Linked DNA regions of Caenorhabditis elegans. The protein of the gene in region 2 interacts with the protein of the main gene of each other region in a pairwise test. Each region holds a gene or a part of one and is shown on either strand. Other genes may lie near its edges. The genes, in order: D1007.8 and brc-2.

Evidence for each region.
Region 1: the proteins of brc-2 (region 2) and D1007.8 interact in a two-hybrid assay, tested with the Caenorhabditis elegans proteins (one large-scale study listed by BioGRID).

What each region holds. Positions count from the first base shown.
Region 1 is NC_003279.8:4,602,600-4,606,002, reverse strand, and holds D1007.8 (Nucleic acid-binding, OB-fold protein), read right to left. Parts: upstream 1,601-3,403; coding exon 1,385-1,600; intron 1,337-1,384; coding exon 1,151-1,336; intron 1,104-1,150; coding exon 726-1,103; 3' UTR 618-725; downstream 1-617. Other genes in the region: C44E4.5 (NudC domain-containing protein 1), read right to left, coding at 1-152, 203-314; eaf-1 (Ell-associated factor Eaf), read right to left, coding at 1,947-2,587, 2,666-2,780; nrd-1 (CID domain-containing protein), read left to right, coding at 3,364-3,403.
Region 2 is NC_003281.10:6,901,327-6,905,254, forward strand, and holds the start of brc-2 (DNA repair protein brc-2), read right to left. Parts: upstream 1,781-3,928; 5' UTR 1,752-1,780; coding exon 1,729-1,751; intron 1,654-1,728; coding exon 1,503-1,653; intron 1,408-1,502; coding exon 1,304-1,407; intron 1,260-1,303; coding exon 1,120-1,259; intron 1,037-1,119; coding exon 863-1,036; intron 812-862; coding exon 689-811; intron 646-688; coding exon 561-645; intron 515-560; coding exon 418-514; intron 179-417; coding exon 51-178; intron 1-50. Other genes in the region: T07E3.3 (DSBA-like thioredoxin domain-containing protein), read left to right, coding at 2,569-2,637, 2,855-2,996, 3,052-3,176, 3,221-3,499, 3,547-3,708. UniProt on the Caenorhabditis elegans protein: Required for the homologous recombination repair of DNA double strand breaks, thereby playing a role in chromosome integrity. Acts by targeting rad-51 to sites of DNA damage and stabilizing rad-51-DNA filaments by blocking ATP hydrolysis catalyzed by rad-51.

The DNA.
Region 1 (3,403 bases), on a different chromosome or scaffold from region 2:
CATTGCCTGAATATGCCCGGTGTCTAAAATACGATACAAAAATTGTTGGGAATCCGTGCATTTCGAATAATCACAAAACAGCTGATTATCATTTGAGAACACTTTCATATGTTGCAGAGTAATCATTTCATTGGATGGAGCACGAAGACATACTGAAAATTATTTTTTGCGAAAAATGGAAAATTTAAATGATTTTTATTACAATTTTGATCCAGGCTTTTGCTCGAAAAGTGCACATTATTCATGGAAACTTTGTATCCTTCAAAGTTAGCATCAATCTTGGAATGATCCACAGGAAGATTGATTGATTGCATTTTAGATTTAATTGGTATAGGGGATTGACCAGGCCTGAAACCATTTTTTTTTCGATGAATTACTAAAAAATCAATTTTTTGGTGAAAAATAGAAGTTTCTTAGTTTCATTTTGCTTATTTCAAGCGTTTTTTATTATAAAATGTTCTACCAATTTCTTTCATTAAAATTTAGTTGTAGAATACTGAAATTTCATTAGAAAGAATATTGGGAAAATGGCAATTACCGTGTGCCGCCGACTGAAGATATGAAAAAAGGTTTAAAACCTTTAAGGGAACATATTAGAAATTGAAATTATTTAAAAAAAAAGAAATAAAAGTTTATAAAACAGATTGTGGAATGAAAGACAAGGCAAGATGTCTATAAGTGAAAATTGAACACGATAAAATAAAATTAAGCTGAATATTATAAATTCAGGCGTTTTCGAAGGAATCATATTCTGGTTCCGGCTCCTCTTTTGGCTTCTCCTTTCGAGCCATTGGCACAAGGCTCACTGGTCCTTTATCAAATGAATCTTCCTCATCATCTTCTTCTTCTTCCTCCTCATCCTCTTCATCCGAATCATCACTGCTATCCTCAGATACATCTGATTCTTCTTTAACAAGTCCACTTGTCGATATTCCTGCTGCCAATTGTTCAATTTCCGTTGGCCACACTCCCATATTATTTTCGCAAGAAGATGATTGTTCCAGCATTCCCATTGGGAACCGATTCAAACTTCCCACTTTGTTCTTCAAACCGAAACGAGTAGGAACATTGGTGCTGGCGCCTGCTGGCAAGATAGGTGTGTGCTGGAAAATGGGCAATTATTGGCTTTTAAAAATTCACTGAAACTTGCCTTTTTATAGAACTTCTCTGAAAAACGGCAGATTATTTGAAAAGCGGCGAATTGTTCATCTGAAGCTTTGTGCATCGAAAATGCGTTCAAAAACTTCTTTCCATTCTCCAAAATTCGAACTTTTCCGAATACTTCAACACGGTCCCCGACGTTGAACTTCTTGGCAGATTCTTCGGTGAAAGAAGCCTGAAATTAATACTTTTTTCCAATGTTACACGATATATTCAGACTAACGGTGAGGATTTTTTGAACCAAAATATTATGATTATCTTTATCAGTAATCATGTATTCTACATCAGAATCTCCGAACTTCACAGATTCGATTACACCCATCACTTGAACGCGAACAACGTCTGCCGTTCCGTACTCGATTCGTTCTTTTGTTGAATTGAATAGCGCTGAAATCGGCATTGGGACGGCATGTTCTGGAATATACCGGTGAGTTTCCATCTGAAATCATGAACAATATGTGAGAAAAACACAGAAATTTGAAGATAAAATCGACGTCTACAAACGACACTGTTTAGCGCAAGAAGCATGCTCTATTGATAAAATGGTTTCAGCGAATTTTAAAAATTTCAGAGAAACTTTAGTTCGACTTTAAAATAGTGCACGGATTAAACAGAAAACCTGAAAAAATAAAACTGTTGAATAGCCTGAATGAAAAAATTTATGATTGCGATAGATAGCCCGGTTTTGAAATAAATAAAAAATCACAGAAGCAAATAACTGCCACCACTAGTACAAGTACACAAGAAAGACGGTTGAATACACTGAATAATATTATGTTTTAAAATTAGTCATCTTCGTCGGAGCTTTCGCTAAGTGCCAATCCATACTTCTCCTCAGAATCTTTGTTTTTATTTCCACTACTTGATATATAGGGAGCCACGTGGCTTTCTTTGTGATTGTAGGTATTTGAAGACGAAGGCGGTGCGGGTTCTCTTTCTGTATATGGTTTGGGCTTTTTCATTTCTTCCAATAATATCTTCTCGCTCTCATCTTCATCATCACTGGAATCGCCATTCGATTTGTCGGAATCAGATGATCCATCAGAATCACTACTCGAATCTGATGTATCTCTCTGCATTTGTTTCTGAATTTTCGCTTTCTCCTCCGGTGAAGATGGTCCAGATCGCTGATTATTAGAAGAAGTTCTCAATCTTTCGATTCCACGTTTCAATGCGAGTTCTGTTCCTTGATCTAGATCTCTCGTCTTTTTTACATTAATATTGCTCGTAATTTTCTCCAAGCGAACTGTGTTGGTCTTTTTGTCGAAGAACAGAAGACATTCTTTCGGTTTTGCTTCTTTTTTCGATCCTTTATATACAGTCATATTGTCTCCTTCGCTTGGTACAGAGACATGTACATCACCGCTGTTCCCAAACGCTATGAAGGTGTCGGCATTGTTTGATACAGAGCTTGGCTTGAAATCGTCTGTAAATTTTAGCTATTTCGATTTTATATTTTTAAATTTCTGATATATTTAATCTTAAAATTGTGCAGTTAACCTACATCTTAGCGTGTGAAATTGCTCTGCCTTAGGGTCACTTTTCCGTCCTTTTACTTCAAATGACTTCCCGAGGGTCAAGGTGTAAGTACCATTCGGAATATCACTTGACTCTGCCATGTGAAACTGAAAAAATGATTATTATTAAATCATATGTGAATATTTTGAATTTTTTAATTTGAAAAAAAAATCGATAATTTTATTATATATTACAATGAAATTCTTCAGAATAGTGCCAATTGTGTGCGCGAGAGTACCATTAGCTGTGGGCGGAGTCTTCGGTTGGCAAGCCTGGCACGCCGTTTTGCAAGTGTGCGGCACAGTGTTGACCTCGGCGCTTTACCATTTTTATGCCGGCTTTCTTTCCTATTTTCATTCAAAACGCTATAATTAGATGAATTTGTACATAAATTATTAAATTATATTCAACTACTGAAAAAGTATCAAAATCATGAAAAAACTTAGTGGGAAAATAGTTTACATTGGATTTTAAACCGTCGACATATCGCATTTATCGATTTTTCAAAAATAAGCGTTTGGAATATTTGCTATTCGTTAAAATTAGCACATCCACCTTTACTCTTAATTCTGCAATTGTATCTTTCCACTATTCCTTTTATTCAGTTTATTTTCTCGCTTCGCATTATCGATTTTAATTTGAATTGGCTTTTTTCAGAACAAAACTCTCATCAGTGGGATCACCATGGAGACGGAAGTGATGAAATCGTTTAATAATGAATTGT
Region 2 (3,928 bases):
GGAATTTAAAAAATTATAAATTGAAAGTTAAAACGCCGCAAAAATCTCACCGTTCCTGGGGGTCTTTGAATCGGAACCAATTGTCAAATCCTTCATATCCTAACAAATCGAGTAATTTCTTCATATTTTTTGTAGTCACATTGATAAACATTTGACCGGAGAAGTCCATAACTCGCACCTGAAGTTTTTTTGTAACGATACTTCCCAAAAACTAAAATTCAAAAAATTATCTAAATTCAGCTAAAATCTCAAACTTTGTCAACTTGACAATGTCACAACTCGCAGAAGTGAGTTCCGACCGCCGCACCACTGACAAGTCGGAAAAATTTGAGATTTTAGCTGAAAATAGGCTATTTATCCAAAACATTAAAAATGTTCTATATTAGGAAATAGGCAATATAAATATAAAGAACATACTCTAGAATACATCGACAATTCAGATTTTCCTTGGGAATCCTTACAAAACTCGCATTGATTCGCTGCTTCTGGGAGAGAGTGTTTGCATTTCGAACATCTGAAACCAATATTATTATATTAATTATCAAGGAATCAGTATGTACCCTGCATAAAAATCCAAATTTAAATCGAGTAAGTTAACTTGGACAACTGTTTTTTTGATTTTCGTGTCTGACAATTCGTGGATAACTGAAATAATAATTTTTTTAGGTGAAAACTCGAAATGGCTCACATCTGGGTTTGATGCAAAACGGCTTCTTGGCAATTGAATGGCGTCGGATACCGGATTTCGCACCATTTTCCTTATTTTTCAGAACTCTATCAATATAGATTTCTGTAACATCGCCTGAGCTTGCTGAAAGTTTACGAAAAATTAAATCAATAGCTACAATCGATTGAGCATTACATTTTTTACAGACTTCCGCGTCGACATGAATTCTGTCGCCAAATTTAATATCAGAGCCACGATTGTAGCTACAAGTGGCCAGGATTAGAGGAGTTGAGCTGGATTCTTGAAGAATAATTCGGAATTTATCCTTTTCGTAGATTCGAGAAACACGCAAAACATCGGCGTGGATTTCTGAAAAAAGACTCCGGATTACGAGAATTACGGAATAAAGAACAGTTTTCAAAAAGGAGAGCCAATTCTAGAGCTTAACTAACCTTTAAACTCCTTCTTCTTTTCTTTTTTCGAATGTTTTTTACTTTTTTTAGAAGAACTGCTGGTTGATTTTTTTGCTGGTGGAGCTTCGAAATCTTCGAAACCGCCGCTAGCCGGCCGTTTTGTAGTTGTTGAGCTCGTTCTGAAAAGAAAAACTTCGAGCTAGATAGCACCTTTGAAACTTACCCTTCTCTTCGAAACGGTGAAACGAAAGCGCTCGACCCATTGTTTTTGCGCACGAGAGGGGAAGAAAATCCGCCTTTAGACGAGGATTTGCTCTTGAGATCACTCTGAATTTGAAATTTTTTATATTAGAAGAATAAATGTGTTGTCGAAGTTAATTTCAGAATATGTTCCATTATTTCCTTTTAATTCCAAAGCTTACATTCAACATCTTCTTTGATTTATCAATCGATTCCTGCTTCACATCAATTCGGATACCAGCCGCTGTTGAAAAAACCGGTTCCATTGATATCGGTACGCCTTTCGGCTCATCAAAGCTGTCTGGTTCAGATATTGTGTCGAAACTGTCTTTTCTGAAAACAAAGAATTGCAATTCATGTATGTTTCTCAATTTTCTTGCTATAACAATAAAATAAATCTTGACTAACACTTTTTTAGATGAGTCACCCATCGGTCGATGTCACAATATTCTGGTAAAGTCTGAAAATTTCATTTTGAGTTCAGAAATTTGAGATTTCAATTGAAAAAAAGGGAAAAAATTAAATTTTTGTTTTTCAAATAAACTGAGAATTTTACTGTCCGGTGGAGCGTAATTGCATTATTTCCTTTTTGAGAAAAAAATTGCGACACTAATTTATTTATTTCCGCCTTTTCTTCTAATTTCGTAATGCAAAATCAATTATCTCACAAATTATAACACGAACCGTTTCTGCCGTTTAAAACTGTGGAAATAATTATATTTATGTGCGGTTTTCATTCATAAAACGAGGGGAAACCCCCAATTGACCTTTCCTCTCTGAATAAAAAAGCAAAGCAAATATTAAATCCGTGTATTTTTTGCGTCATTCTTTTCTATCTCTTACTCTTTTTGCCCCCGCAGTAATAAAGATCTAGAGAAATAGAGAAGAAAAGGAGAAAGTGAGGAAAAAAAATACATGCTCGCAGAGTTCGAAGCTTTGGTCTAACTAGTTGAGATTTCTTCCCAGCTTGATGTTTTTCCGGGTCGCTTTTTCCTTTCATCTCTTAAATTTTCATTTTCCATTTCTTGGGTATTTTCTTTTGATAATCAAATTAAAGAAAAAGCACTCGATTTTAGGTGCAATCATTCAAAAAATTCTTTTGATAAAATAATCACCTTATCACCATTTTAATGTCATTCCCGCCATGAAAACCTGATTTTACAGTCTAAACCTTTCCTATTTTCTCATGATGACGCTCTGATTTTTTTTAATTTCTCGACATAAATTTAATTTCAGCCAAACTTCAAAATGGCTCCATTGCCACGTGTGAAATGTTATTTCGATGTGGTCTGTCCCAATTCATGGATCACTATTCAGGTACATTTGTAATCTAGAAAAACTTGTTTTGATACAATTTAAACTGAAAGATTTTGTTTTTCCGGGTTTTCATTTCCATTGCCCTTCAGAATCATGTGCTTCACGTGAAATAGAAATGGGTCGCATGTGAAAAATAGATAGATCTCAGCCCTTTTTGAATGTTTTATTATTCCCGAAAATAAAAAAAGATGGAAAGAAAATCAAATATAATTTTCAGGCTCTTACATCACACAATTCTCTATTCGAGCGTATAGATTTTGAGCCAGTTTGTGATTTTAAAATTGGAATTCTTCATAATGCTCAAATCTGGAACCAACGTCGACAAGTACACAATTCGAGACTTTGGAAAACGAAAATAGGTAAGTAGTTTGAAAATATATAGAAATCCAAATAATCGCGGGAAAGTTATTTCAGAAGTTCCAGAGCAAGCAGAAAGCGAAGAAACACTCTCAGAAATGGGAATTCTACAAAAAATCGACGAGCGTGGCAAGAAACTTATTGGTTGTGAGCGTGTCGTGCCACCTGTAGATTGGAAAAACGTTAGATTGATTTCGAATATTTATTCTCAAACAAATATTTTTAGACCTACAAAACAGCGGTAGCACGTGGATCGGTCATCCCTCAGCTGTTCCTCACTTCAATCCGTGAACAATACCCAGACCTCTATGAAAAAGCAATTCATCACTTGGGAAAACGGCTCTGGGAGCAGCGACTTCCAGTTCACTACGGGTGTCACATGTCTACAGTATGCCGTGAACTTGGAATCTCATTCAAAATCGCAGAAGACATTGTGGCTCGTCTCTCATCTCCAGAAAATCGATCGATACTACACAAAAATTGCAAAGAAGCCGTGGATTTCAAAGTAAATTTTAATTTTCTAGAAATAAAATCAAGAATTTCCTTTTTCAGCTTACTGAAGCACCCGGATTAATCTTGTTAACTGATGAAGGAGACACTATAAAAGTTGATAAAATCAATGATATTTTTGATGATAATATCATGATTTCCAAGCTCTCAAGTGTATCATCAAGCCAACCAGTCGAGCAAAAAATGTCTGCAAATCGACTTTAAATTTAGTTTTTTTGTTTCCAATTCTTCCTTCCTCACCCACCTTTTTCTTCATATTTACCCACTTTTATTGCACTTTACTCGCATCAGTTTAGTCTTTTTTTTTCCCAAATCCTGTACCCTCTACGGTGATTATAATCAATTCGATCAAATTCATTGTGTTATCCTCCGGTTCAATTTATTCCACCCATCTCCAATTTAGTATATTTCCTTTCTCTGTTAC